Styela clava: one gene and its partner. Each later gene encodes a partner of the first gene's protein in a complex. Links are inferred from orthologs where the notes say so. Each region holds a gene or a part of one and is shown in the gene's direction. Other genes may lie near its edges.

Region 1 (16,426 bases):
CTAATATGTGAGGTTTTTACTGCTGGATTTGATTCTGGATAGAAGTTCTCTATTGAACGCTTTTTTGATTCAAAATTTGAATTTTCAGTGCAGTCTGCATAACTAACTCTAACTGGATAATTACTGATTTTCTTATTTTGAGCGTTGGCTAGGGCGCTGTACAAAAGATCCTCCACCATTTATAGTACAGGGTGAAAGAGTATTTGTACTTTGTGGTGGTTTTTTTATATCACGCCTTTCGCTCCAAATGATATATCAGGTGCTACTGTTGTTTTTTAAATGATCAATACGACTTATTTTTCCACCGTTCACTAGTAGCCACTGCTAGGTATGGAGCACTTGAATCCCGTTTGGCACTTCGTTCCCAATTTATTGCACCCTTGGATTGTGTTTTAATGATATTTTATTCCATAATCTGTAATCCTGAGCTATTGGCGCCTGACAGGCCCCAAAGTGGGACTCCAACTTTCCTTGCTAGGTGAATCAATAAAACCGTGTTCATATACTCTTGTGTTTTTGTTATTCCTTTTGAATAAAACCTTCATCTCTAAAATACATCCGGATCTTTGTATTTGAAATAGTACAATATTTGGTTTTGCGTATCCAGGATAGAATCCCAGGGGAGTTTGAAGCCGATAAGACGACTTAATCGTATAGCGAACCACGACCTGTCGTCCAGTTACCAGTCTATGTCAGGTATGGAGTTAGGATAGGATTCACATATTTATCCCGAGGGAGAGAAAAGACGATAAGACAGCTTAATCGTATGGCGAACCATGGCCTCTCGTCCGGTTACCAGTCCAAGTCGGGTATGGGATTAGTTAGCCAGTTATTTGTTTTCGGAAGCATGGACTTGATGGTAGAGGAAGCCGTAACTGACCAGTGGTTACGTGAACCACCCTACGGCGGCGAGGAGTCCAGCAATCCCCTCTCACATGATCATCCCTGCATGGGATTCGAACCTGCGATCCCACGAAGAGTAATCAGAGATGCGTTGGCGAGCGTATTCCTAACGCTTAGCACAATTATTTTTGTACGCATGGATTTGTCAGAATCGAGTCCGCACCAAACATGATTCTTTAATTTGGAGCATTGCCCCATTCATTTTGGTATATGAAGGCGTTTAAAACCAAGTGCCCCTCCGGGACTTCCGTCACCCGGATGAGGTCATAGCACTCAAAAAGACGAATCCCATGCAGCTCACCGAAATAAATGGAAGCAATAGCCTTGTAGGGAAAAATTCCATCTTCAACCACTGAAAATTTCAAAGCAAATGGTCCAGTAATCAATGAGAAAAAAGGTTTTTACATAACGATACCAAGAATAATTCAAATAATAAGAAGAAGAGTGCCATAAAATGCAAAACGATTGTCATGTCCACTTACGTGTCCAATATTTAAAAAGGTGCTCACAAAGTATGTGTATAAAGATGGCGCACAACCTGAACACAATATGTGTACCCGGTTAGTTTTCAGGTTGTGCGTCATCTTGGTACGAATACTTACGGAGCGCCATAAAAACACACGCAGAACTTTTCGGATTGGACTGAGGGGGCGATACGGTCATCAGAGTCAGCTCCCCTGTGTTCACCATTTTAATTTTGTATGTTAGATTAACGGGTATTAGTAACATGGCAAGTATACTCGTAGCGCTGCGAGAATAAAAGGGAACTATTGGGGCTTATTTCACTCTGCTCTGCGGATCGTTAAAGAGACGGGAGAAGTTGTTGAGAGGTTATTACATTTAATAATCTACCTAAATTTTTCTAAATTGCGTTGAAAGTATTGCCCGATTCTGAATCCCGGTCACTTTTTTTGTGCTTGTTTCATTTATTTTGGTGGGTTGGCACGTACTTTCAAGTTTTTTTTTGAAGTGTTTTGGTGTTTCATTAATTTTTTGTGCTCAATAACCTGAATCAGCGAGCTTTTAAGGTGTCGCTGCCTGAAGACCTTATGAAGTCCCTCGCGACTCCTGTCACACAAGTTAAGTTCATATTGTGTTAGAAATGTTTTTTTTTTCCCCTATGATACGTTTATTTTGTGCTGACGAATAAAATGATGATTGATTGATTATGCTCGCCTCCCAGGTATCTCTGCATTTTGTTTGTCTGTTTACATTTAGTGTTGTTTATGTGAGAGAACTGAAATAAAATGAATGAATGTAGAAAAATGGTTCGTTGCTCGCTCGAAATAGTTTTATTCACATCAATCAGTTGTATTTTCGTAAACTTACAAATACCAACGTGTTTTATCATCTATACCTGACATGGGCAAACTACGGCACGCGGGCCAAATCTGGCCCGCGGGGTAATTTAATATGGCCCGCTTGATGCTGCCACAACCAGATTAAAACCAACTTTTGCTGTTTTAGCTGGAGATTAACGCAAGGAATTTGTTGAGATTGCGATTAAATTTAGTTTTGACACGAGGTTTACTGTTTTCCACTTTTGCTTTTGTAACACTGTAAATATTGTTCATAAGATGTAACTTTTTACGTCACACATGGCCCGCCAGTCTAAGTGGGCAAAAGTTTTGGCCCCTGGCCCAAAAGGTACACAAACTGGGGTCAGTGATGACTTCACACGGGGTCAGCAAAGATAAGAAAAGAGTCTGATCGATTTTTAATGATTGGTTTCAATCAAAATGTCAATGCGTCTTCTTCGTTAAGTGTTGTAGACGAATATCCATTTCTGTCAGAAAAGGAAATTGAACCTACACGACCTACATATGTGTGGCAGCAATTTCAGTTCTTGCCAATATGATGAAAAAATACAGATCCAACTTGCCGTAGAGTCGGATCTACGAATTTGATTGACCTTTCCCCGACCTTTGACCCCCGAAAAATTGCGAAAACTAACGAATGGAGTTCAAAAATGCGAAAACGAGGTAATGTTTACGACCACGCTTGAAAATCTGTCTGAGTGAAAAAAGTGTTTGAGCGGATGCGAAAAGGGAGCATTGTTACGTCACTTTTTGCAATTTGCTGATTGGCCAACGTCACGAAGTAAACAAGGAAGTCGATGCTCGGGGAAAGGTCCATTGCTCCGAGAATCGATAACTCGTGCAGTGAAAAGCAACCTCATACAGTATATTAACGTAGTTTGCGTTGTTGTTTTGTAAATGAAACATCCTTCCTCGTTGGTTAGACATAGAAATTGATACGACATAGGATGGGAGTCGGTCAAAAGTGAGATTCACAAATAGGGATCCCCGGCCCAAAATAGCTTGGGAAACCCTGCATTCTACCCTCGTAAAGGCGCGTAAGCAAATACAACGACTCATATAAAACATGGGTCATGGTGAAATCCAAACTTTTGAGTATTAAAATTGATTTCGTTTTGGTGCAGACAACTATAAAATAATTTTGATAGCTAAAAAACATGTTAATGACACCCTGATGCCACATAATTAACTTGTACTCATATATAAGGTTGGCCGATAACTAACCATTTCGATTCGAAATATTCAACTATTTGCAATTTAAAAGTACTGACAGTTTACTTTGGTCCATCACTGCTTTAAAGGCTCAATTTTTTTCACTGCGACTAAACTAAATTTACTCGGAAGACAAAATGCCAATGGATGTTTACTTCCATTGTTTACTTCGTAACATTAGCTAATCAGCAAGATGCAAAAAGTGACGTATCAATGCCCCTTTTCGCATCCGCTCAGACACTTTTCCCACTCAGACAGATTTTCAGGCGTGGTCGTAAACCTAACCTCGTTTTTGCGTTTTGAATTCTATTCGTTAGTTTTCAGTTATGTTTATGAAATATAAATCAAATAATTCAACGATCACTTCGTCTTCCTAGGAGTTTTAATTTAATTGCAGTAATAAATAATTAGTGTAGAAATAGCTGTGATAGACTAGGCTAAAATTCTTTAGCAGTAGTTTTAAAAAACAGATTGTTGAATTCTATGAATCAGAATGATGGTTTGAAACAAATGCCCCATTTTACAGGCTCCAACTCGCGAAACCACTATTAAAATGATCACCGAAAATTTTGCAATGGTAGAGTATAGAAAGAATTTCCCCGAGTCAAAGGTCGGGGAAAGGTCCATTGAGTTCGACATTTCAATCCATATATATATATATATATATCGATGACTCCATGGGAATAAAACACTTGTCTCGAAATAGCAGAGTATTTGTAATAATATTCAAAAATTGTTTTGGGGAAAAGTAGCCTAAATGTGAAGTGTAAATCATTACTATGAAATGCTAAATATACTCAAAGTTGAAGACATAATCAAATTTGAAATATTATCATCAGTTTATGAATATGCAGTCAATTTCTCTTTACTTGTTCTGCATTTAGTTGTTGGTATGTCGAGTTCTCCTCATTCAGGCTCCTGATTTACTCAAATCAATAATTTTAGTAGTCGTTTCCTAATATGCATTCATTGAATATTGTACTCGTAGATTTATTTTCCGTTTTTCAAAGCCGTTTCGTGATGATCAATTTAGCAGCTAGCTTCTTCAACATATATGGTGTCTACATCAACAAAGTTTGCAGACTGATGGATCATTCATTACAAATATGAACTGTCTCCAGTTGCTTCCCAATGATTAAATGAAGAAAACACATAGGAAAAAAATTGAACAATGGCTCCGATGATCTTACATATTAATTTCAAAATGATCCTGTGAAATACCAATCTTAAATTCCTTTATCCTCGCTGAAGTCAATATCTAAGAATGAAAAATAAAACTAACTTATGTATTATTCGTCCCGTAAAAACAATATAAATGAATTAGTAATTATAAATACTGAAGACGGGATGTATGCACAAGACCATACTGACCTAAAACACGAATGTGCAGCATACACCGCACCCTTAGTAACTAATATATTCCTATACCCTATTTTCCTACTTTAATTCAATTATACTAACTTATACTGTTACCGGTGACTTCAAGTATTTATTACAATCTGGAATATAATTTGGCTCAAATTTGTGGAAATGAAGTGGTCTAGTTTCTAGTAGACTCTAGCCCACCTCTTCATAAACTTATACTTATATACATAAAATTTTGAAAACAGCTAAAAACTGACAAATCGTTAGCAAGACCACAGAAACGGGTCCGTCCTTTCGACTTCTTATTCTTGTGTGAACTTTTGTCATACTTTCATAGTGGTCGCTGCTTGATGAACAATACTGGTTTGGGTTTATCGCGTTTCCTGTCACCATGTTCATCATTTTTTTTTACCTCATTTTGTAATTACAGCGTGTATTTGAAATACGGTGAAAAAATAAACTACTGATTACTAGGAAGGGATATAAGTATATATTTATGCGTAGGTTAATGCTAATAAGTCGTGTACTCAGTAATTAACTGCAGAATCTCTGTCTAAAATTTTGAACCCATTTGAAATCTCTTCAAATTTTAAAAGCTCACTTCACATACACACAAAAAAAAAAACGATTTACTATAGCCTTCCCCTCCCCAAATTTATTTTTCCGTTTTGTGGATACAATTTTAGCAACCATAATCGGTGTTTGCTGTTGTTGCTGGCCCATTCTGTTGTTCTGATCTTATCTGATGAACACATGCTCATGGTTTCGAATACATGTATTGCAATTGTATATATTTACAAATACAAATGACAGTTCCCAGTCATGGCTGATAATCCAAGATTCAATGCACGCACAGCGAGTCGATAATTCTAATCGTCCATTGTTCTAGCCCACTTTTTCTCCTAACGAATGGCCGCTTTTAAGCTGGTTTTGGTATCCTCCGTGTATGACGCGATATCTTCATTATAGCCTACAGGGCTTCTAACTGGTATGTGTTTTTATGATTAAGGGCTTATTTCTAATTTGAAGATTAGAATGATTTAAGTTTGAACACGTAACACTATTAACCAAAAACAAAAATAAATTAACCAATATCTGAAATTGTGAATCTTAAACATAATAGCGAGAAGGGGGAATTGACTTTGTTGGCCGTCTGGTCGTATGACTCCCTCCTGTCTATACCAAAATAATTTATTACTTGTTATTATCTTTATTGGACACGTAGTGGACATAACGATCGTTTCAATATTATGTTGTTGTTGTTCTTGTTCTTGTTGTTATTTGACACAGAATAACACACCTAGCGGAAATATTAAAAAAAAAAAAACGTTTTTCTCTTCGAATACTGGACCAATTGCATTGAAATTTTCAGTGGTTGAAGATGAAAATTTTCCCCAGATGGCTATTACTTTTACTCATTTTAAATATTTCTGTTAGCTCTGTGAGATTTGTTTTTGTTTGCTATGGCGTCATTAAACGTTCTGCGGACATCGGACGCCGTTTTGTGTCCTACTGTACTGCTTCGCTTGGTGTGAATATATTTGTAGACTGTGATCTGACGGTACGGTACACCGTACTGTACTGCGAACAGACGTGTCCATATATTTGGGCGTAGCTCTCTTGTTATTATTGGACACGTAGTGGACATCACGATAGTTTCAATATTATGTTGTTATTGTTGGACACGTTTAGTCGACATAACGATCGTTCCAATATTATGTTGTTATTGTTATTATTTGTCTCCATCATTTTTAAAAAATCGCTTTTCTCTTCGAATACTGGACCAATTGCTTTGAAATTTTCAGTGGTTAAAGATAAAATTTTTCTCCAGAAGGCTATTACTTTTTTTCGCTATGACGTCATCAAAATTATTGCCATTGGGTGGCGCTACATGTCCATATATTTGAGCATAGCTCTCTTGTTACGATGATTATTGTTTCATTTTAGTTGACAAAAAATGGAATATCTCTCTCTCTGTAACTAATTTACAGCTATACCACCAGTATAAACCCCCATAGCTGTCTGATATGCATACGCTAGAAATTGCATAGTTTATGCATCGATATAAAAATGATCTTTTTCCCCCTATTTTTATTAAATATTATTTCACCCCAATAAGAAAGTACATGAATACTGCACCAGGTCCCAAATAAACAAGATTTTTTTCACTCAACAAGTGTCCACTAAGATGGACAAAATATCTTTGAAGTATATGTGTGTACAGGTTTGGGGCCACCTGAAACTAAAAAAGTTCCGTCTATGTTTTCAGTAAGAAATTGAAAAAGTATTTCCTACTGATATATTCTAATTTGGCCTGATATCTTAATTAATCAATTCTCTTGATTTATATCTTGAGTATAATATGTAATTACAGTAAGTCTGTTGAAAACCGTTTTATAATACTATAAATTTAACTGTTTCATATAAATACTTCTATTTCAACTTTTGCATGTGTATAATTGGAAGTTAATGGTCTTTTCTCTTTCTTGTCTGTCATCAATGTGATGATTATTATTGTTTGACTTCAAAAGCCATTGTTAATGATATTTCTAATTGTTGTTGAATCTGTGATAATCTGATTGGCTCGTTATTTTTTTTATTTCTTCATGTATTTGAGACCTGTACATGTTCAGTGAATATTTAATCACAGAAACTACAATAAATAATTGTGAAAACTAATCTTGACGTTTGTTCAAAGTCTCTGGACCTGTCCGCAGTAAAAAAAATTTATGTGACCTATTTACCACCGCGACTTGCATTATTAGATTTGGAATATTAAATTGCCGACTCGCACATATATATTTGCTATCTATTTTTATCCATGTTTCATCGCCAATGCTTTATCTGACTAATTTCTTATATACAACATTGGTCAGAAACCTCGGTGACTTAACCGGTTTTGTATGCTGACCCTCACAAATAATGATAACCAATTATTATTGAATTATCAATTTTTGTTTCTGTCTTATCTTATTTTGCTTCAAATGTTTTATAGTGTTGACATTGTAAATTAAAATCTCTCTCTCTCACTCTCTCTCTCTCTTTTATTTCCGCGTTTTAGTAGGTCACTGCCGCCATTTTAAGGTGCACGTTGAGATCTCGCATTCAATTTCCTTTGCGCCGTGGTCGACTTTGCCTTTCAGTTGTGTCAAATTCCTTGTTAAGTTAATCATGAGTGATATAAAGACGGGAACGGGTAAGGTGAAGTTTTTTAACGATCAAAAAGGATATGGCTTTATTAAATTAGATGGAGGCGATCCTGAAAATGAAACTGAAATTTTCGTTCATCAATCGAAAATACAGATGGAAGGGCACAGGACCCTGTTCGAGGAGCAACCTGTCGATGTGACTTATTTTAAAGAAGAGAAAGGCTGGAAAGCGGAAACTGTTGTGCCAGATACGGATTGGGCGGAAAAGAATGGAAAAAATAATCGGGGAAATAGAGAACGTGGTGGTTACAGAGGTCGAGATGATGATGGTTATGGGCGTGGTGGTGGTGGCGGCGGTTATGACAGAGGTTATGGCAACAGATCATATGGCGGTGGCGGAGGATATGGAGGCGGCGGTGGAAGCTATGGTGGTGGGGGAGGATATCAAGGAGGAGGGGGATATGGAGGCAGCGGTGGTGGTTATCGTGGAGGCGGTGGATACGGTGGAGGTGGAGGCGGTGGATACAACCAGTACGGGGGTGACGGATACAGATAGAGAAATTAGCTCTCAGGTTAAAGTTGTCTTATTTGATGTTTTAATCAGTTGCCGGCGAGTAGGCAGAGCCTTACCGACTTTGTCATGCTTATTGCCAGGTTGTCATTAGCAACAAAATCATCAAATTTTATGACTTTGACAGAGCTTTAGGATTTGACTTTCATGTAGAGTTTTGTAATTATTATCAATCACGGCTTTTGTTTTTTTATAATCAGTGGATTTTCATACTTAGAACTAAAAAGCTGCCAAAGCACAGGCAGGCTGTCAATCAGGCCTTTCAGTGTCTTGTTAAAGGTTTTTCAGCTATTTTGCCTCAGTTCATACATTCAGCGTCTTTCAGATTTTGTCGTTTTTAGTCGAGGCTGTAACCAATTTTTTTTTAAAGTTCTTGCTCTCAAGACGGTCAAACAAGTTGAAAATATAAAACTGTTTACCAAAATACCCACCATTACCCCCCCTTAAAATACCAAAAAAAATTATGACATTGCATTGCCGTGCTTGACAACCATTTAAATGGAATGATTTTTCAAAGATGTGCATGTTTTCCGGTTTTTTAAGTGATGTACAATATTCAATTTTGGTCTAAAGTCGTTGTTTTTCTTGTTGTTTGTGAAACATATGATATTGTCTTTCCTTCAATGACTTTGCATAAACTAGGGATATCAATAGCTAAGAACTTGGATATCTTGCTTGAAAATGATAAATCAAACACAAGCGCGGAGTTATTTGGATAGACGTAACTTAGTCATTTCGAGTTGTTAAAATCTTTTTCAGTTTTTCACACATATTTTATACGAAATATGCGAGTCCTGGAATAATTCATGTAATTGTTATAAAAACTCTGATTAAGATGTTAATGTTAGATTTTGTGATCAAATTCAGTTATTTTTAGTAAATTGCCAAGTTTTTTGCATTCCTCACCACAATTACTTAATAGGACGTTAGTATGATAAACTATTTTTTGCTAAAAAGGTATCGAAGACATAATAATGTTTGCAGTCTCATTCAACTACTATTTGTGGTCTCATTTCTTTCATCTATGCTGTCTGTCACCCAACTCCAAAATTGCCGTTTGTGAATATTTTAATTCGTTTGAAATATTAATATTGTCAATTTCATGCCGTTCGACCAGCTGTACATTTTTTATTGCCGTGCTTACAATATACTCAAATTGTGGTGTAATTTGACTGTCAGAATCAAAAAGTTGTTAGAATTGAAGTTTTAATGAAGAAGGTTGAAGGTTTTATGGAGATAAAGAATGCACACAATCAATATTAGCCATGATATGTTTATCAGTAGATCTCGCTTCAAATATCCAAATAATACTTAATTTTGAATTTAACAAGCGGCTTCAATTAGAGTGAAGTTGTTCAAAAAAATTTGAACTTTTTAAAAATAAGTTTTTGATGGAATAATTTACTATTATCTAAATTTAAAAATTGTCATTCCAGAGGCGTAAGAGCTTAAAAAATAACCTAAAAAATGAGTTGTTCGTTAACATGCGATACTTCTTCGGTTCCCAACAACACAGTCGTAAAATAATAAGGATAGGGCCAAATTTCTGGTTAAAAAGATCTTGCTGTTTTGGTAAAAACACTGCTATATATATATATTCAAACCGTGATATAGCAGAAAAATTGACGCCCCCTGGAGTATGCGTACCAAGATTGCGGACGCTGGAATGTAGTATGTGTACCAGGTTAGGCATAATTTTAGATACATATACTACGGGAGTAACTTGGCTAGTCCCTGAACTTGTAATATAACTAAAATTGGAATAAAATTATGGCCTAACCCAAACCTGATACACATACTACGTTCTGATGTCGGCCATCTTGGTACGTAGGTATACTTCGGGAGTACCCAAAAAATGTGATGATGGACTCCATATAGTCTTTATAGTATCTGCCATATCTACTCTGTTGAGCCCACGAAAAGTTGTGAGTTCTGTAATATTGCCAAGCCTGGTAACCAGACAAAGAGGTCTGTAATATAATTAAGCCCCAGTTTTTCTTTCCCTCAGGGTGTGCGTAAAAAAAATTTTCTTGAGTGCTCGAACATGATCACTAGTCTTATCTTCAAATACTTTTGTATTTTGAGAATTATTTGCCAGAAATAATGCTTCAATTAAACATGGTAAAAAAGAATGGAATGTGCTGAAAATAGCCATAATTTGGGTGGGAAGGGCTATTGATCAACTAACTTAATTTCAAACCCTAGTCCAACCTATTCAGCTATTCAGTTTGCAATTTCTAATCATTTTGAAACTTTTCGATGGAGTCCATGCCATTTTTAAGCTAGAATTGTTTCTATTAAATTTTCATAAGGCAGGTCAGAACAAGATTGATTTACACAGACAAGGTTGTTGTGAGCTTGTTATTTGCTTGGGAGGGGCTCATAGGCATGCAGAACCAGACCTGGTCTTATCTGGAACTCCATAAGTTTGTGCCAAGTGAAGAGTCCATTCACCTCGGAAGGAAGATTTTCCATGACTTTCTGAAAGCGTGTGACAGCATAAATGATATGTAAGTATATTTTGATTTGTGGTTTCCAATAATAATATACAGATATTTAGGACCTATTCCAATTATCCCCCCCTCCCACACACACACACTAATATATGAATGCTCACACTCGTGTTTTTTTATGGGGCCCATTCATCTTTATCAATTCGTCTGAAGACGTAGTGAGATGGCGTGCGTCAATGGTGTAAAAAGGGTTGACTAGTGTTTATCCCCATGCTTCTGTTGGTTCACTAGTTAATGCCACGGTTCAAATATGTTTCGGTTCGAGCCACTCACCCGAGTTTTGATTAATAGTAGACAGATATAGTCCTTTGTGTGAAATTAGTGTACTCTTTACGACCCCAAAAATTCTATGCGCGCCCTCTGTGGGGTCGTGACCCCGGGTTTAGGGAGCCCTGATCTAGAGCCCTCTTTGAACTGAAACAGCATAATGATGCATTGTTTGTCACCCATATTGTAATAAATTAAATGCGTTCTGAACATGATAGTCGAAAAATCCTGATTTCCGAAATAGCAGCTGTGTGTCAGGGCGTTTCTCAGCCTGGGAAGCACCCTGATATTTTGAGTTCGTATTCTGATGCTTATGAGCAACATAATAATGTCTATTGACAAACGCAAAGACATTATTATGCAAATTCAATGTTTGAGGCCAATTTAAAAGTTTGGCGAGTTAATCTTAGCATTTCCGTGAAAGGTTAACAGTTCATCACATGCATTATACAGGGTGTCCATATAGTCCCTTTTCAATTTTGTTATGAAGTCAGTTTTCAATATATCTTAACCAGGTTTGTTGTATTTTAATCAGTAATTGTTCAAGTATTTCTAATTCATTTAATACATCTGTGAGGGCCAAAACAATGATTGGTATCGATAAATTCCCTTTGCATTTTTAAAAAATTTTGAGACTTCATGGACACCCTATATATTAAAACAGATTCTCGGTTTTGAATGGAAATTTGTATGTTTCTTCCCAAATATCAGTATCTATATTCCCATGTAGTGGTATTTCTTTCTCCTTTAGTGTTTGACTGGCATTTGTTTCAAGTTTTGTGGCACCCGAATCTCCACTGACATCTGTGTATAGCTGCTTTTAGTATGTCAGCAGCGCTGGATTAACCATTAAGCAAAATAAGCACATCCTTGGTAGGGGAACCGCAGAAATCGTCAAAGACATTTATAATTGTGCCTTGTTGTTAAATGAAATGATTAGAGTTGGTCAGACGTCTAAGACCTTAATATTGATCGGTTGAAATGAATTTCTGTTTATATTCTTTTTGGAGTATCACAATTATAAACTCTATTATAAATGTTCACAGCCATTGGAACTATTTCTGAAAAATATTATGTGAATTAATCCTAACTTGGCCCTCAATTAGTAATGAATACTGAGACTTGCTAATTAAATTTGGGATAACATGGAGCACAAGTTTAAATATTTTAACTTTTTATATATGGGGCACCAAAGTCTTGAGTGCTTAGGGCCATCTGGCCCTGTATTTTGACGTCCATTCTCCCCACTTCCAAGAATTTTGGCGTTTGAGCAAACTGATGTTGGAAGTTAGGGACATAGCAAGGATTTTTCAAAGGAGAGGTTCCGAAATTTCTAGTTTAATAACTACGGTAAGTTTGACAGCTAGTGGGTCCGGTCAGAAAATGTGTGTTAAAAAAATTTCTATGTATGATACAGAATTTGGTTTTTCCTATTTAAAAAAAGGGGGGGGGGGGGGGGGCACGCAAATTTGGGGGTACAGGCAGTGGTGTATGAAGGGTAAGGCTCGTGCCATGGGCGCCGTTTAAAAAGGGACGCAAAAAAAAGGCAAAACGTTTTATTCAAAAAATGCTTCAATAGAATGATTGAAACTCTAATTTTTACTAAAATAATAACGACGAAGAAGTATCTCAATTCAACAACAGTCATTAAAAATTGCCAGTCAACGATTAAGGGGGCGCATTTAAAAATTTGCCATGTGCGCTAATTTACGTAGATAGGCCACTGGGTACACGTAACAGCTATATATCTGATATTGGTGCATTTGTTGCTTAAAAATACAAACATTCCACTCTTACTTGACCGTTAATTTATTTAAACTCGTGTATAACAACATCTATAATTTGTTTATCCCCCGAATTATTTTTGAACTTACATATAAGTGGCATCACTATCACAAACTCGCCCGGGCAGCAAAAAGGTTTGTCACGCTCCTGTTTTAGGTATCTGATATGCAAAATTTGCTATGTTGCTGAGGGCTTGGTGGCCTTACAGTCAATGAGACTCAACTGTTTTGCCATCGCAGATTAATACTCCTCAAATTCCATAAAAACCCAGAGATGCCCTAAAAAAACGTAGCCCACACCGATGGTTGGATATTTGTGAATGCTCGAACAAGGGCTGGGGAGCCTGGAGCCTGGGCATTTTGTTGGAGCTGGATAATAATAGATGGAGCCGAGGCTACCAGGACTTTTAGTGGCTCCAGCTCATAACCATCGGATTATTTTTTCACATGTGGCCCGCCGCTTCATTATCTGTGGCCCGCGTCACATTCGGAGGGGAATTAAAAAAAATCCCATTTTGTGTTGTTTCGTCATAAAATTAAACAAAAAATCTTTTGACATATTGTTACATCATTAATGTCACTGAATTGACTAGTGTTATGGCTTGTTCAGGCAACTAGCGAAGTTAAAGAGCGAAGTTCTTGACACAATTGTGGCCCGCGAACAATGCAAAAGTAATTTTGTGGCCCGCAGAGCTGCCAATTTCGGACCACCCTGCGTTATATAAATGATAAAATCTATCCTTTTAAGCCCCATAACATTAATTTATAAGTGTTAAGTTAAATTTGTGTATCCAAAACTTTGGAGATAAATTTCAAAATTTGGGCTGATATTTCATGTTAGTGGTCAAGGCCACTCACCTGTAAGGCTTTGCGAAATAAAATCGCATTTTGGTGCACCATTACGCTAGTCCTCTAAGCTAGAATGCTTGTTTCATCTGCACTGTATTTTGGTTGTCACTGTTCATTGTGATGTCACACTCATGTTTTGATATTTTATTATACTGTGGTAATATTTTACAAGAGTCACCGAGTTTTACAGTTTGTATTCTTGCTTCCTAAAACAAACATTTGCTCAGTATTAAATTTTCTTAGAACCAAGCCAATACCAAGAAAAATTAATGATATGGAGTCTAAGGTTGAATATAGTGTGGATCTGGAGGCATTGTAATCTATAATCTCCCCAGCCCTGGTTAAAACTGTAGAAAGAATTATGGTTGTGCATAACAAGCCACTAAATACCAGTTGGAGAAAATCTTGCAATTGAAATATCCCGACATATTTCATAATGAAACTATTTCATATCATACCTAATATCAGGAATTTACTATACTTAATTTGAATGCATGGGGATATTCAATTCAGCCCTGGCCTTGTTGTGAGCGAAATGGGTGAGAATAAGTTTTATAAAACTCCTTAGGTATGTGTAACAGGTTAGGCCATAATTTCAGATACAAATACTAGGGAGACACTTTGCTAGTCCCCGAACTTGTAATAGAACTGAAATAAGGAAAATTGGAATAAAATTATGGCCTAACCCTTACCTGGTACACATATTACATTGGTACTTAAGGAGCACCAAAATTATATCTCTTCTCCATGGGATAAATATAAAGTCTCAATATTTTTTTTGTTTCAGCAAAAGTATCGAAATCATTCCGAGCAATGCCGAAGAAAACACAAGCCCTATTGTTATCGAAGGTGACCATATCGGCGTGAAGCTATGGTGTATTCCACTACTGTTTAAATATGCTTACAATGCTTTGATGAATGAGAATTTGGATATCCAGGAAATTGAAAAGCTGTCTAGGTGAGTGGAGTCTGTTGTTCAATGTGCCATTAAAGAAGTTGGCTGATGGACTGGTTGAATCTAATCTATGTTAGTTCCACAGGTTAAAATCTCTAAAACAGAGGTTCCCAAACCAGGGGTCGCGACCCCAAATTGGGTTGGAGTGATAAGTAGGTAGGTTCGCAAACAGGTCATGGGGTCGCTGAGGTATGGTAGAGGAAGTTTACAACAAATCTAAGATTTGACAAACTATGTTGAATTTAGCATTTTGTACCATGGCTTACTGTAAAACAGGCTCATAAGCATCGTTCTATGCTTATGCTATAGAAAATGTACGTGCTTATTGTGACATCACTGTTTGGTTTTAGCTTATTTTACTAATACCGCCACATGACCAAACTCAAAAGTCCAGTGAAAGAAATTCCAAACTAAAGTTTCATGAAAAATATATATATTGACCTGGGGTCACACTGGACGCTTGAAAGTTCTCCTTGGGGTCATCCTGAAAAAAGCTTGGGGACCGCTGCTTTAAAACCTAGTAACCAGTGGGGGGGGCCAGAAATTTCAAAGGGGATGGGGGTTCTGAGACCATAACAGCTAGCGGTTCCGGTCGACCGGAAAAGTTGTGTTTTCAAAAGTCTCGGGGGGGTTTTAAAATGTGTTTAAAGCGGTGACCGTACATTTGAACCCACGTACATTTGAACCCATGTGTATATTCGCGGGTTCAATCTATATGCGGGTGCTAAACCCATGGGTTAGGGTTAGTATGGGTTCAAATATCCGTAAAACAACAAAAATTTCCATAGGTGCAATAGTATGCCGGTGCAATCGTCGTGGGTTCAAATGTACGTGGGTTCAAATGTAATGGAACCGTTTAAAGCTATGAAAAATTGCTATGTATGATACAAAAAAGAGGGGGGCCGACTCTCCACTAATGGGCTCTTTACATTTAAAAAAAGGGGGGGTTCAACCTTTTAAACTACTTCCCTTGGGAAATTATAGTGTAGAAATTAGTTAGTAAAAGTCGATTTGATAAACCGGAAAGATAATGGTCCTTCCAAAAACTCCAATGATAAATTCAAAATTAAATCAGATTTTTGTAGCTGTGACTGAGACATATCATATTTCACTATAAATTTTTTTCAATAATAATTACAAATACTTACAATAATACAATTATATATATAACGAAAATGTGCATCATGTTATAATAGTCACCCACTTGGATTCAAATTGTCCAAAAACTTCACTTGCATACCATATTTGAGGGGAGGCACGAGGGAACTTTTTTTTCTTATATTGTTAAATTTTTGCGTTTTTTTCCAGATGCGTTGTCTTCTGCTGCCCAGACTGTACCACAGCTTGGAACGAAAGAAAAAACATAATCTTGATGAACTCGATGAATGACAAGACCAATCTTTTACGAAAAGAACTTGCACTGTCCAGGCTGGTACTTATGCAGCGGCCAAAAAGTTCAGAAACATTTGCGCATAGAAGATGGGTTGTTCTTCAAATTATGCGATATCTTTTAAAAGACTTCGACAGTTTAAATCAATA
Region 2 (16,409 bases), on another chromosome or scaffold:
CTTGTGACCTCGAATTGGTCTTTTTATTCGAACCCAATCTCCGACTTCAAATATAGGTACTTTTGCATGTCTTTTATTATCAGTGTACAATTTTGACTTTTGTTGACTAATTGCAATTTCTTTTTGCATTTTCGGAATGTCAATATTTGTTTCGGTATTCGAAGGTTTGAGACATTCTAATGACAATCTCATTTTCCTTCCAGTCATCAATTCTGCTGGAGATTTTCCTGTTAAAGCATGAGGAGTAGCTCTGTAGTTTTGTAGAATTATTTGAATAGCTTTACCAACTGTCTTCCCTTCTCTCAAATGAGTTTTTAGTCCTTTGGAACTCTGTTAAATCTCTCTGTGATAGAGTTTGAAGTAGGATTGTACAAAGCACATAATTTCTGTTTTATCCCATGTTTTGCAAGAAAATGTTTAAACTCATAGGATACAAAAACAGAACCATTATCAGATGTTATAGATTCAGGAATTCCCCATCTTGCAAATAATCCTTCTAATATGTTTATTAGATATGTAGATGTTACATTAGATGTCAAAGCAACTTCAGGCCATTTTGAATGTAGATCATTTATAACAACAGCAAATCTATCTTTCACAGGTGCAATTTGCATTTCTCCAAATACATCAATTGAAATATCTTTCCAAGGCTCACTAGGCCATGGTATTGATTGAAGTGGTGGTTCGGCAGGTTTGATTGATTTCCCACTCATTGCACAAGGTTGACAATTGTGAACAAAATCTTTGATTTGTGCATTTAATCTTGGCCACCATACATTCTCTCTGCACCTTTGCTTCATTCTGACCATACCAGGATGTCTACTGTGTGCCATTTCTAGGACTCGTTTTCTCAGTACGAAGTATAAATATTCTTCCATACAGATAAATATGCCAGTGTTCACATGCATAAATTGATGCAAGTGCTTCTCTTTCACAAGTTGAGTATTTCCTCTCTGTGTTACTCAAAGTTTTTGATGCAAATGCAACAGGTTTTTCATTACCTTGTCTGTCAATTTGTGAAAATACAGCACCAACAGCATAACCAGAAGCATCTGTAGTTACAATAGTTTGAGCATTTGGTTTGAAATGAGCAAGTATAGGTGGTGATGCTATGCTTTCTTTTAGCTTATTGACATCATTTGACTGTAAGTCAGTCCATTCCCAAGGAATATCTCTTCTTAAAAGTTTCCTCAATGTTTCAGCAACATTTGCATAATTTTGAACAAATTTCAAATAAAAGTTAGTAGTTGCAAGAAAAGATTGTAACTCTTTCTTATTTTTAGGCATGGGGATATTCAAAATAGATTCAACATTTGACTCAAGTGGTAATACACCAGAACCAGAAATTTTGTAACCAATAAAATTAATACAATTTTTAGAAAATTGACACTTATCCACATTCAATGTTAAATTATACTCAGCAAGTTTTCTGAGAACTTTATCAAGCTTTTCATCGTGGTCTGCTTGATTTATACCATGCACAATAACATCATCAATATTATTGACTGTGTTCTCACAATCTTTCAAAATTATGGACAGAATTTTTTGAAAACGAGAGGGCGCTGAACATAAACCATACGGTATTCTTTTATACTGATATATAGAATCATGCGTTATAAGAGCAGTAAGATACCTTTTATCTTTAGCTAATGGCACTTGTTCACAACTTCGACGCAAGTCAAGTTTCGAAAACACTGTAGAGCTATGAAATTTTGATGTGAGCTCTGTCATTGTAGGTAATGGATATTTATCAGGTATTATTGCCATATTTACTTGTCTGAGATCCACACATAGACGAATCTCATTATTTTTCTTAGGGACAATGACAATATTAGAAATCCATGGTGAAGTTTAAATTTTTTCAATAACATCATTATCTTCAAGCCTTTTCAATTCTGCAGACACACTAGCACGAACTGAAAGTGGTAACCTTCTCAGTTTTTGAGATATTGGCTTGACTGTATGATCAACCATGGGATCATGTTGGAATTTTGACACTTTACCTAAGCCAGTAAATACTTTAGCATACTCAGCACGAAAATCAATAGAATTCACAGTAGCACCATTACATGTAACTTTAAAATTCAAACGATCAAACAAATCGACTCCCATAAGACTAACTCCCTTTTTAGTTACAAAAAATGAAAATACATCAATGGTCTCATTTCCATACTGAATATTAGGTAAATCAATAACCCCAATACTTTCAATAGATGACCCTCCATATCCACACAATTTCTGGGTTGTGGGCTTAAGCTTATACTTTGAAAACAATTTTCGATACATGGTTCCATTCATTATTGAGATTTTGGCACCCAAATCAATTAAAAGCTTGGTTTCTATACCATCAATCATTAAAGAACAATGTTTAAAAATACCATTAACAGAATCACTGTTATTTTCAACAGAAAATACATTTTGCACATCATCACTTTGTTTTTGTGATGGCAACACTTGTCTTGTAGTCTTTTGTTTCAAAGACCTACACATTTTCATGAAATGAATTCTTTTGCCACATGCATGACAAATACGATTTTTAGCAGGACAATTACTACTATATGAAGCATGAGAATTTGATCCACAACAAGTACAATGTTGTTTAGCATATGATGAATTTGCTTTTTGATTTTTCCATTGATTGTGATATCTTTGCCTTTGAATTCCTTGCACAACAGGATTTTCTTCTTTTTTGAACTTTGGTTTTCCATTGAAATTGGTTTCTTTCTGAATACGATGTGATTCTTCATGAGCAGTTTCAATTTGACAAGCCAGTTTTACTGCTTGATCCAAAGTCAGTGTATCAGGTTCCATGAGCAACCTTTCTCCAATTCTTGGTGAGATGGTGTGTTCGATTATTTGACCACAGATCAATCATCTGACATATCTGCAAAATTACACTCTGACACTATTTCTCTGAGTGCAGCGACATATTCTATTATTGACTCACCATCATGCTGTTTTCTATTCCAAAATAGATGTCTTTGCATTTTTACACTGTCTTTTTACCAAACGGCTTCTCTAGAGCAGCAACTGCTTGTTCATAAGTATCTGTGTCTGATAACGAATATTCTTTGGCCTTCAATGCCTAAACAATGCAGTAGAATTGCACGTTTTTTATCAGCAGATACATTTTCCTGATCAAGTCCAGTAGCTTTCATATATGTTTCAAAGCTATTGTACCAACGTTTCCAAGGTACTGGTGGTTCACCTGGACTTTGCAAGAAACATTGCGGTGGTGGTAAATGTAATTCAGCCATTTATCACACTTTTCTTCTCTTCCGAAATATGACGTCACCAGTAGTCTACTACCGTAATTTGCCTGTTTTCACTATGTCGTATTTTCAACGACCCTTTAAAAACCATCCCATCCTCATCGCCAATCTGTTGTGTCCCTGACACTGACTAATGAACTATACAAGAATCCAACTTGATAGAAACATCAGTTTAATGAAAACAAACATTTACAACGCTTAGCAAGCAAACTTGTAACAGCGTACCGAATCACTAATGTCACATGAGGTTCTACAAGAATGATGCAATCGTAAACACTTAACGCCAGCTAGTGGAAACTTAAAATACATGAAAAGTCAATACACAACAGATATCAATGTTGGAAGCATTGAAACAAATGCAATGATTTTAAATTGAACTAATCGAAAACGACAAAAAAAACCGATACCCCAATCCATGATTTGTGTATGGACTGTTATGGAACATTCAATCTATTTAACGAGCTTGTTCTTTAGTAACAATTTTTTGTCGCTGTGTTATTTTTGTAATGAAATTGAACTACAGCACCACCATTTTACGTCAACGAGTGTTTTTTATTCCATATTTTTGTAGGAAAGCACTCTTATTATACACATACACGTCTCACATTTTGAAATTGATTCAAAAGGTAGGCTATTGCCCGATTGCTTGTATTTTTTATTATTATTATTAAGTTATGCCCGTCCTCCAGGTACTTTGTTGTTGTTTTGTTTTCTTCAGAGTGACCGAAATAAAATTGATTGATTGGTAATTGAAAACATTTGGTGACATAAGTCGATTCATCAAATTGTATGACGAAACCATCCTTTAATCCTCTCACTTCAACAATCACTTCTTCAGTGTCAACAGACATTTCTTGGCCATGTTGTTTCACAGTATCGTTAGAAAGCGATACACGATCCAACTTCGGCAGCAAGAAGGTTAAAACCGGCCTGTCTGTTACATGCGCTGGCGCTTCACATGTTACCCAAGTCGCTCAAAATAACTTCATCGTGTTTTTTCTTATCTGGGTGATTGGACTCAAGATGTCGCTTGAGGTAACTTCTGAACACAAGCTACAGTCATATAAAATCAACGTCAATTTCTACGTTTTTTGTTAATTCAGCACGCATTTCTTGTGAACAGCCCAAGACTTATGTGATGACTTCATCGAACCACGTTTTTCTACTTTATATATTCAAATGCCTTAGACTTACCATACGTCCCTCTTCAGGCGGGACAGTCCCGCTTGTTAGCGTCTTGTCCCGCCGTCCCGACAAGTCATCCAAACGTCCCGCTTGACTGTTTTTTATTCCATATTTTTGTAGGAAAGCACCCTTATTATAGGCTACACATACACGTCTCACATTTTGAAATTGATTCAAAAGGTAGGCTATTGCCCGATTGCTTGTACTTTTTATTATTGGACACGTTTAGTGGCCATAACGATCGTTTCAAAATGTTGTTGTTATTGTTATTTGTCTCCGTCTCCATTTTTAAAAAATCGCTTTTCTCTTCGAATACTGGACCGATTGCTTTGATATTTTCAGTGGTTAAAGATAAAATTTTTCTCCAGAAGGCTGTTACTTTTTTTTCGCTATGACGTCATCAAACTTATTGCCACTGGGTGGCGCTACGTGTCCATATATTTGAGCATAGCTCTCTTGTTATTATTAAGTTATGCCCGTCCTCCAGATACTTTGTTGTTGTTTTGTTTCCTTCAGAGTGACCGAAATAAAATTGATTGATTGGTAATTGAAAACATTTGGTGACATCAGTCGATTCATCAAATTGTATGACGAAACTATCCTTTTTTCCTCTCACTTCAACAATCACTTCTTCAGTGTCAACAGACATTTCTTGGCCATGTTGTTTCACAGTATTGTTAGAAAGCGATACACGATCCAACTTCGGCAGCAAGAAGGTTAAAACTGGCCTGCCTGTTACATGCGCTGGCGCTTCACATGTTACCCAAGTCGCTCAAAATAACTTCATCGTGTTTTTTTTTATCTGGGTGATTGGACTCAAGATGTCGCTTGAGGTAACTTCTGAACACAAGCTACAGTCATATAAAATCAACGTCAATTTCTACGTTTTTTGTTAATTCAGCACGCATTTCTTGTGAACAGCCCAAGACTTATGTGATGACTTCATCGAACCGCGTTTTTCTACTTTATATATTCAAATGCCGTAGGCTTACCATACGTCCCTCTTCAGGCGGGACAGTCCCGCTTGTTAGCGTCTTGTCCCGCCGTTCCGACAAGTCATCCAAAAGTCCCGCTTTGGCGTTCAGCCATCCAGCATAATACACGAACATTACCAATTAACATGTTCTCGTTATTGTTGTTGCTATGTAGCGCAGCGCTACTTGCTGAAGGTGAATGCGTTATTTTGTTTGTTTCGTTGTTTCCCGCTAACATTTTTAGCGAACGTATCACATGTAACATTGAACAACGTTTTTTTGAAGAAGGTGTTATCTACAGAAAAGCATGATTGGCGAAGTAAATTCTCAATGCGTGAAAACGCCAGGTTATTTTACTATTCTTTCTTTCTTTTGATGCACATTAAAAATCGAAATTCGAATTATTTATATCGTTAACGTCGATTTCTTTCTATTTTCCGAACTGAACCCGATATTTGAACAGAGAATATACGCATGAACTCTCGATGACAATATGGCTAATGAAAACAGTCGGGATAATTTAAAAAGTAACCCTATGTAGTAAAATCGGAAAATGTAAAGTTACAAAATCACAGTAAAGGGTTCGTTGTCTTTGGAGGCGTCCCGCTTTGAAGTCACAAAAATATGGTCACTCTATCTTTACCCCAAATACACTGCTATAAACGCCTTCCAGCGAATACATATATAGTAATATGGAAGATGAAGAGAAAGCGTTGCCGGCATATTTTAGCCGACTCAAAAGTTGCTTGATAATAAATAAATAGTAAATAAAATAAATAATGAATAAAATATCGCAAAAGTTGCTTGTTGCAATATTTTAAAGCTGATCGCATCCCTGAAATCTTCCGCGGTGATACGCAGGTTGAGGGCCACTGGTCTAAAAGTTAACAATTTATTATTTACTTATTGAACAATCCACATTGTGGAACCATTAAAAAAATAAAAGTTACCAAGTAAAAGTTGGTTTTTAATATTGTTAATTGTCAACTCTTTTATATTGTTTTTACGAGACGAAAAAACATGCATACATGTAAGCAGTGGTGGGATTCAGTCGGTTCGAATTTGAATCCCACCACTGCATGTAAGTTTAGGGTTTTGCACGATTTTCTTGGTTTCGCATGTTTCCATTTGCTTTTGATCCGTTTTCTTTTGTTTCGCGTTGTAAGCAGAATGTTAAATTTTTAGTAATTCCCTTTGATCTAGCTGTTTGTTACATGTAACCCATTTGTTTTTCATTTGATTTTTATAAAATAAAAATAACCCGGTATATCATATATTTACGGTTATATGCATGTGCAATGTGTATGTCTGATAATGGACCTTTCCCCGACCTTTGACCCCCGGAAAAATCTTTCTATACTTTACTATTGCAAAATTTTCAGTGCTATTTTAGGGGTGATTTTGCGAGTTGGCGCCTGTAAAATGGGGTATGTGTTTCAAACCATCATTATGATTCAACGCACATAACAATCTGTTTTTTAAAAGTACCGGTAAAGATTTTCAGGCTAGTCTATCACAGCTATTTCTACACTAATTTTTATTACTGCAATTAAATTAAAACTCCTAGATAGACAGAGTGATCATTAAATTATCTGATTTTTATTTAAGTTTCCGAAACACAACTGAAAACTAACGAATAGAGTTCAAAAACGCAAAAACGAGGTAATGTTTACAACCACGCTCGAAAATCTGTCTGAGTGAGAAAAGTGTCTGAGCGGATGCAAAAAGGGGGCATTGTTACGTCACTTTTTGCATCTTGCTGATTGGCCAATATTACGAAGTAAACAAGGAAGTCGATGCTCGGGGAAAGGTCCATAGTGAACAGCCCCAGCGGGTGGCGTGTTGGCTTGAATTGTTTTGAATTTTCATATTCATTTACAGCTGTCTATGAGCTACAGATTTATGAGAATACAGTTTCGGTATGTAGTCTATGCATGTAAGTTTGTTTTCAGATGGTCAAGGAAGCGGTGTGTATGTACCGGTATGGTATGGTAGTTGGTACCATGTAGCACTTACAGCTGTCTATGCAGCTACAGATTTGTAAGAATACGGTACCGGTATCGGTACGGCACCGTACCGGTACCGGTACCGGTATATTTGTATATAGCAGCAGTAAGAATATTCCGAAGAGGTTTGAAAGGCGTACTAGTATTTATAACATTTAAAAAAAATATTTTTTTGCATTATATTCAACATATCACACCTATCGTTTCATCACTCTGTAACTGCATAACTTCAGCTTCAGGGTGCCTAATTGAAAATTAAATAATCTCTTTTCATGAATTAACAAGCATGTTTGTGAGGTGTTGTTAGATCTTATTCTATAATCTCCTGACAAAACATGATAATAAAACTGTAAAGACAAAGGTCATGGAAGTATCTAAAATTCAGCAAATGTTATTCTTATTCATCACTCCAATATTGGCAATATAGTGGTTTGCAAAATTCTTAAACTACGTACCGTATCATTTTGAATTATTCCCCCCCCTCCACACACACCTGCACACCCTTCTTCCTACTACACATAAAAATCTGTCCACATTCAGACATTAATTATTCAAGCTTTAATGAAATATTTACATGTCATGTACGCACATCTGTGTCTTAGGTCAGTAAGGTCTTGAACATGTATCCTGTCTCTGTTTTACTGTTTAATTATTATGCAGATACTGTTACATTTTTGAGGCAAATAAACATACATACATACATTTACCAGATATGTACAATATCTTAATGCTACACTCAATACTCGAATACCGGTCTTACTACTTACTGAATACAGCGCGAAACACCGCAAAGAGCGCAAAATAGCGCGAAACAGCGCAAAGCAGAGGGAAAAGCGCAAAACAGTGGGGAAACAGCGCAAAACAGCGCGAAAGAGTGCAAAACAGAGGGAAACAGTGTGAAGCGGAAAATTTTTTTGCAATGAGTTCGGGGCACCTTGTTTCGAGTTGGAGTACCACGGCAGCAAATTAAAAACACAAACCAACGTATGTAGCCAGTAATGCTGTAATTGCAGGTCTGCCCCTGCTTGTGACACATTTTGGGTACCATAATTTAGAACATTTTCCATATGGATGTGGTTGGCTTTAGGGTTAGGGTTAGGTAAAAAGGGACCTCCAGAAGTATGTGCACCAAGGTGGCGCACAACCTGAAAATAGTATGTGTGTGTGTGTGTAGCGGATTCAGGTTGTGCGACATATTGCTGCACATACTTCTGGAGCACCAAAAAGGTAGATAAAATTTCGCATGATGACCTATAATCCGGTACATAACCTTGTAAATATACCGGAAATAGCGCCATAAAACCATGGCGAGAGGCACCGTGGTTCTTTCGTGGCAGGAGGTGGTAATGACTGCGTCTCCTGTTTTGCGCTGTTTGCTTCTGTTTCGCGCTGTTTTCCTCTGTTTCGGCTGTTTTGCGCTCTTTGCAGTGTTTCGCGCTGTATTCAGTAAGTAATAAGACCCCTCGAATACATACAAAGTAAAACATTCAATTCCTCTTTGTTTGAAAACGCTGCTCGAATACTATCATGTTTGAGCATTCGTGTGTCAATTGTATGGACAGTAATATCTGAATATGGACGTCAGGAAGTTCTCGTACCTTTTGTATTATTTTATACAGTTATAACAACCGATTTTATATTTAATTTGTCCTTTATCAGATCATAGAAACAGGAGTTAACCATTTGCAAATATAAAAAGTTTAAAAGTAGGCGGCATTTTGCAATGGCAACCATTGTCAAAGATGTAACACTGAAGCAGGGCGCTTTAAAGGAATTGCTAATGACAAAGCATTCTACTTATTTAGCTGCTTATGGATCAAAGAAAAATGATTATGAATACTGCATGACAGAGTATCTTCGACTAAGTGGGATATATTGGGGTTTAACCGCGATGGATCTGTTGGGACAAATTGAAGAAATGAATAAAGATGAAATTCTGTCCTATTTAAATTCTTGTAAGCATGATTGTGGTGGATATTCTCCTGCACCACAACACGACCCGAGTATTTTATATACTCTCAGTGCGATACAGATTGCATGTATTTATGATCGATTGGATGTTATAGATGTGGAAAAGACTGTGGAATATATTGAAAACCTTCAAAATGAAAATGGGTCTTTCGCTGGTGATAAATGGGGTGAAATTGACACCCGTTTCTCATTTTGTGCAATTGCATCACTAGCATTACTCAGTAAGTTGAAAGAAGGTGACAGCAAAGTTGATTTGGAAAAAGCTGTTGATTTTATTATTTCATGTATGAATTTCGATGGAGGTTTTGGGTGTCGGCCTGGATCAGAGTCGCATTCTGGACAGATATATTGCTGTCTCGGTGCATTGTCAATTCTTGGTCAACTCCACAGAGTCGATGCAGATTTACTCGGTTGGTGGTTATGTGAACGACAGCTTCCATCTGGAGGCCTCAATGGCAGACCTGAAAAGCTACCTGATGTTTGTTATTCCTGGTGGGTTTTATCTTCACTTTCTATATTAGGAAAAGTTCATTGGATTGACAGTAAAAAATTAATCAATTTTATTCTTGCGTCACAAGATGATGAAACTGGTGGAATTGCTGATAGACCTGGTGATATAGTTGACCCTTTTCATACTTTGTTCGGCATCACTGGTCTTTCACTTCTTGGTGACTCTAGATTGAAGAAAGTTAATCCTGTGTTTTGTATGCCACAGTATGTCATTGATAGAGTTGGTATACAGATACAAACTTTGAACTAATATTGAAAACTTGTGCCACACTGTAATTCAACACGATCAGTGTACCACATGTTGATGCATGCTTTTGCACTATTTGATGTTTAAAGTTGATAGCAAACAATGTTAAGCAGCCTCGAGTTGAACTCAAAAACTCGTACTCAACTAACGCCAGTGTGACTTATCTAAGTGATTAACTCAACTCTTTAGACTCTGATTACCTGTGATTCGACGTGACTCAGGACTTGTGGTTCAGGGGTTTATACCCAACAATGATATTAAATCCTTCCAGAATATTGTTTTGTCACATTCACTTAATTGGAATGTCAATTTGTTAATGGTTCTACTACCAGGAGGTGGGTATGGTTTGCTATTTAATTTACTCTTGATATTGGAATAAAAGTATGGCCTAACCATAACCTGGTACACATACTACGTTCTGGTGTCCGTCATCTTGGTTCGCGTACTTCGGGAGTACAGATATGACTGCCATGGCAGATAGGTACAAACAGTTTTCGACTTGTATATCAGAGCAGACTATGGACAACATGGCTTTCTAACACCCTAATATGCGTGATTAATTTATCTTGGTTTAATGTGAAACACATTGAGATTTCAATAGATTAATCATTCATTTATTAATATACTACTTTTAACAAAATGCCGACTTAAATTATTTGTATAGGTAAATTATTATTGTTGAAAAATTGGACTGAAATAATTTCATGAAGATAACTAAGTGGATTTTTTTTTTAATTTACATTTGTCAGACTTCTTACAGGATGCCAAGTTTTCGTCGTTTATATGTTTATATAATTATATTCATATGTATTTTAAGATATGTAAATCATGAGTGATCTTATCATAGTAATAAGATGTTTCACAATAGAAATTGGTAATATGAATACATTTCCTATTCCCAAGCATAACATAATTATTACAGATCATGAATAAGCATCGCATCATTACTTATATTTAATTTATCATATTTTAAATTGAACGCTTAAGACAATATCTTTTGATCACTGTTTAAAACATTTAAACACTACTATTATATTTGTAGCAGTCATTTCGAATAAAATAATATCATTAATGAAATATGGAAACAGAGGTTGAAATATCTCCAAACGAAAAAGTTCTAGCCGAACAGTTGAAGGCAGTTTGTACACCCTTCGGTGATGAAAGGCGATCAAAACTAAAGGAATCAACTGATATTTTGTTTGAAATGGGCAAGTTATATCTTGAAAAAGCAAAGTCATCTACAGGAATGAAACAAAAACTTGATTTTATAAAATGTTCTGCTTTATTACACGGTGCTAAAGTTCGATATGAAAGAATATTATACGATATAAAAGGAGGAAATGAAGTTCACAAATTCCTCTTATCAATGGAGAAAGTGTTGTTGCAAGCTTGTGGAGGTAAACAGTGTGATATAACTCTCTCTGAATTATCCTCTCATATTTCAAAAACATTCAAGAATCTAAGAAAGGATGAAAAAGCTAAGTTACGTGAATTGGAACCACTTGATGAAGATCTTTCTGAAGATGAAATTCTTGAAAAACAGTTGAATAAAATTGAAACTATCCAACACATGATGAAGGAAAACACACAAAATTATATTGATTTAATGAAATGCATTGCTTATTATTGTATGAAGATTCTAGGAGATTGTCCATGTTCGTTTGCTCTCGTTGGTTTGGGATCTTTGGCTCGGGAAGAAATAACTTTATATTCTGATTTTGAACACATAATAATTCTTGAAGAGGGTATCGATGATTCTCCAAATTATCATGAAGTGAAAGAATATTTTAGATGGTTTGCTGTGATATTTGAGATTATTATGATTGGTTTGGGTGAGACTATAATCAGAAGTGTTGGCGTGAAAAGTATAAATGACCTTTATTCTGAGGATAAGTCTAAAAATTGGTATTACGACAGTTTTACTACTAGTGGTGTATCTTTTGATGGAATGGTTCCCCATGCATGTAGTACACCTCTGGGTAGACAAGAACCAACAAAAAATCGTAAGCACAAAGTTGAACTGATTCAACCTGTCAGTAAAATGGCTTCGTATCTAACATCGGATGAAGAAATCAAAAATGGTTACTATTTGAAAGAAATGCTCATAAGAACTTGCTTCGTTGGGGGAAATAGGGAGTTATATGATGAATTTCAAAGTCATAAAATAGCAATTCTTAATAAGGAGATAAAGTATGATGTTTCAAAAAACATTGAAAGACAAATAACCAGAAACGTAAACTTGATAGTTACAGGAAGGATTGTTACAAATATTGCTCGCAAAATTGATGTGAAAAACTTGTTTTATAGACCAATCACTGCGCTTATTAGTTATTGGGCTCGCCTTCTTGAGGTTCTAAATAATTTTTATCTGACAACATCATCCAGCTTTCTTATTTCTGAGATGATGTGTAATTTTCCTCTTACATATGCGCTTGCAGTTGCTCATGAACTGCGCTTGAAAATATATGCAAAATCGGGATGTCGTTGGTTCAAAATTTATACGGAGGAAATATTTGAATATGTCAGTAAAAATTGTGCTACACATTGCCTCACACAAATATTTGTTCTTAGCGATAATCTTCATGAAAAGGCCAGAGAGGCCATGCTTATAGATAAACCTTCATTTGAAAATCGGCCTAAAACAATATCTGATGGAAAAACTTTGGCCCAGATGCAATTAGCACGTTTTGAAGATGCCATTCCTAAACTTCGGGAAGAAGCAAGTTTAGAAAAAGATTTATTGAGTGCTAAACCTTCTACTGATAATGAAATCGGGATATACGATCTGAGGGTGATTGAAGCCACATTGATGGCAGCTAGACAAACCAATAAATTACCTCCAACAGAGTGGATCAACCATACAGAGATTTATTTGAAAGAAATTATTGAAGATGGTACAGAACATCCAGCTAGGATTTCGTTTGCAATGAACTTGCTGGACATTGTGTATATATTTCAAGTTAATCCTAAAGAATCAATTGAATTAAATAATCATCAATTTGAAAGATTTATTGGTCATGCGGGGACCCAATTTCTGATGCAAATTCGTTTCACCCAAGTAATGCAAATGACGATTTGCATGAGTCCTGCAGAAATGTTAGAGTATTGTATGGAAGGGATGAAAAAAAACAATGACATATGCTCACTCTATGGCTTTAAACTTGGAATAGCTTTTGCAGAAATAGAGATGGGAAACAAAGTTGAAGGTGCCGACAAGTTGCTTTCTTTGGTAAAAGATCTTTTTGAATGCAAGTGTCGTATGTTCGGGAAATTACTTACCTTAGAAATTGTGGCGTATATATTTGAATTTCAGATGGTACAAAACTTATTAGAGGATGCATATCAGACTTTGGAATTAGCAAATATCATTGAAGAATCTCAAATTGAAATTGTTAACTTGGAAGCTGTGAGTGAAGGTATTTTATCAAGTGGACTGGTTGGAATGTGTTATGTGGAAAGAGGCATTGAAGAACAAGACATTAGTAAGGAGAAGGAACTTCTTTTAAAAGGCATAAGTTTCTGCCGGTCACCTCCTACAAGAGAAAGATTGAAGAAATCTACCAAGCACTATTATGAATTGGGCATCAAGTCATATATACGTACATGTTTGGTTTCTACGGAATTGCAAGACGTACCAAATATTTGTAGTCTTTACTCTGATGCTCTGACCTCCTTGAAAAATGACAGTTTCTTTCGTTCATATTTTCTTATGGTTATCCCAAATTTACTTGCTATTTTTATTGCAGAAGAAAATCTGATGTTAGTCCTCTATTCAATATCATTTACTATTGATCATTTACAGAGTTTGTTGTGTCACCCATTCGTGATTAGTGAGATGAAAAGTTTTTTGACCAAAATACTCAAAATTGTACTGTGGGAATCTGTGTTCTGCGATCCTGCTTTGACTGCTATAGTAATGCAAGCAGAATTGGATTCTAATTGTTTAGAAAGTTTGAACAATATTTTATCACATTATGAAGAAAATTATTTCTTTGCATCAGTTGCTACTGTATGGAAAAGATTAATTAAGGGCTGCTTTTCAGCTAAAGATCTTCAACAGATTAATTTTTTTGTTGGACTCAAACTCTTTATCTCCCTTGGACAACATTCTTGTGATTTTGTAACAAAAACTATAAAAGAATACTCTTTGATTGGTGACAATATGACCAGTAATTTGTATAACAAAGGTGTTCAACAATACATAGACAATGACTTCCAATCTGCTGCCCGTTATTTTTGGAAAATAGTCAACAATACCAAACATCGATCAACTACACAAGTACGTTCTATTGTAATGTTGTATCACTCGATTATCAAAAATCCATCCGGATTTGATCGTTGTGTCATCAAAGGTTATTTGAGTTTGACTCAATCTCATTTTTACAAAGGAAGACAAAAGTATCATGTTGCTGGAATACGATAACTTGGAGACGCATTATTATTTGATGATATACATGTGCAGATATTGGTTTACAAACTGTGTAATTAGAATTTTTGTGGATTTTTTAATGTCTGATTAATGTGTGTTATGTCTGGTTACCCTGATAAACAATTGAAGCTTTTCAATTTTGCAGAAGTTTGGATTAAATTGCACCAAAAGTCTGTGATTTGTTTATACAAATATGGCTCATTTTTTCGGTATGTTTGGTTCTATCCATGTTTTGCTGTTTGCTTTGCATTTAGTGCAACAAGTCTTCAAACCATTTTGTGTTTTATTTTCAATACACTGATTATGTTATAGCCTACATATTATATTCTTTATTTGAAATACTACATATTGTTAGATAATTAGTAATTTATTTTTTGATTTTGATTTAGAAATTTCCTATTCTGTTAGATAATTTGTACCATTGTGAAATTACCGTATATCCTTGCATATTAGCCGAGTTTAAAACTCAAAAAAGGGCTGGAAATGCAGAAATTTCCCATTATGCTTGGTCACTATCGTATGAAGACAATTAGGACACAATTTGCTTCTAGATTTTTTGCTGTGGTCGCCCAGGATATCTCGACTATGTTAAAATAGGTTATACAATAATAATTGTAAAATATTTTCAATCAAAAAATTCATTAAAACATTAAATATAATAATCAAAAAATGTTTGGAAGGTGGGTGCCAGGCTGTGTGGGCTTTGTTCGAGATTAATATAATCACTAAAAATGATATTCTGAAGGTAGTGAATTGCGATATTGAATATTAAATTCAAATTGAACATCTCTGGCTTTGATATGGCATTATACGATTTGTAGGGTCGGCTTATATGCGAATTTTCACAAATTTGCTGTCTAGGGCTGTTTAAGTGAGGATATACGGTACATTTACTTTTGCCTGATAGACATATACTAACTAATCTATTTAATGATATTCTGAATTCCAGTGGAATTCAAAGTCTGTTGTTTTTCCATATTCTTCTCTTTAAATATGGAAGGACATGTTATAATTAGTGTGTATACTTGGCACACTACAGTGCGACAATCATACATATGACTGTGGGATGGCTATGTTTCTCTTAGCTGCCGCCCCTGGAGCTTCCATTTCATCATTTTTGTTGTTTTCTTGGTGGATAACTGTGGAATATATTCTGTTAAGTGCACTTTTTCTAATGAACATTTTAGCTATGCTTATGAAAGATTTTCTCTGATGTCCTGGAGAAATACAGTATGCTGTTCTATATATTCTTCACTGTAAATATGGAAAATCATTTTTTATTGAAGAGTACCTGTATGTATAATTGCCAATATTTTCGAGCTTACTTTTCATTTATATATGTCTTAGCGCAACAAGTGTTAAACACAATTTCCAGTTTGAATAATTGCCAATATTTTGCAGCTTGCTTTTCATTTAAATATGTCTTAGCGCAACAAGTGTTTAACACAATTTCCAGTTTGAATAATTGCCAATATTTTCGAGCTTTTCATTTAAATATGTTTTAGCGCAACAAGTGTTTAACACAATTTCCAGTTTGAATAATTGCCAATATTTTCGAGCTTGCTTTTCATTTAAATATGTTTTAGCGCTACAAGTGTTTAACACAATTTCCAGTTTGAATAATTGCCAATATTTTGCAGCTTGCTTTTCATTTAAATATGTCTTAGCGCAACAAGTGTTTAACACAATTTCCAGTTTGAATAATTGCCAATATTTTCGAGCTTGCTTTTAATTTAAATATGTTTTAGCGCAACAAGTGTTTAACACAATTTCCAGTTTGAATAATTGCCAATATTCTCGAGCTTACTTTTCATT

Evidence for each region.
Region 2: the proteins of protein prenyltransferase alpha subunit repeat-containing protein 1-like (region 1) and geranylgeranyl transferase type-2 subunit beta-like are in contact, whole or in part, in a crystal structure (PDB 6O60), measured with the Homo sapiens proteins. The link is inferred for Styela clava from reciprocal best matches to the Homo sapiens genes PTAR1 and RABGGTB. Residues at the interface, in NP_001093136.1 of Homo sapiens: Val61, Lys62, Leu65, Pro66, His69, Leu73, Arg76, Leu97, Asn98, Asp100, Phe101, Thr102, Thr103, Asn106, Lys109, Glu110, Leu113, Ile141, Arg144, Trp145, Pro192, Ser193, Tyr195, Ser199, Ile202, Trp203, Gln206, Val231, Ser232, His234; in NP_004573.2 of Homo sapiens: Lys6, Asp36, Tyr37, Cys40, Met41, Glu43, Tyr44, Ile89, Gly90, His91, Asp92, Asp136, Trp138, Glu140, Phe177, Asp178, Gly182, Cys183, Arg184, Pro185, Gly186, Ser187, Glu188, Ser189, His190, Gln193, Trp217, Glu221, Arg222, Pro225.

Annotation. Positions count from the first base shown.
Region 1 is NC_135264.1:16,943,414-16,959,839, forward strand, and holds the start of protein prenyltransferase alpha subunit repeat-containing protein 1-like, read left to right. Parts: upstream 1-9,833; 5' UTR 9,834-10,907; coding exon 10,908-11,029; intron 11,030-14,719; coding exon 14,720-14,890; intron 14,891-16,195; coding exon 16,196-16,426.
Region 2 is NC_135258.1:7,572,152-7,588,560, forward strand, and holds geranylgeranyl transferase type-2 subunit beta-like, read left to right. Parts: upstream 1-9,080; 5' UTR 9,081-9,160; coding exon 9,161-10,168; 3' UTR 10,169-11,207; downstream 11,208-16,409. Other genes in the region: uncharacterized protein LOC144427126, read left to right, coding at 11,244-14,588. UniProt on the Homo sapiens protein: Catalyzes the transfer of a geranylgeranyl moiety from geranylgeranyl diphosphate to both cysteines of Rab proteins with the C-terminal sequence -XXCC, -XCXC and -CCXX, such as RAB1A, RAB3A, RAB5A and RAB7A.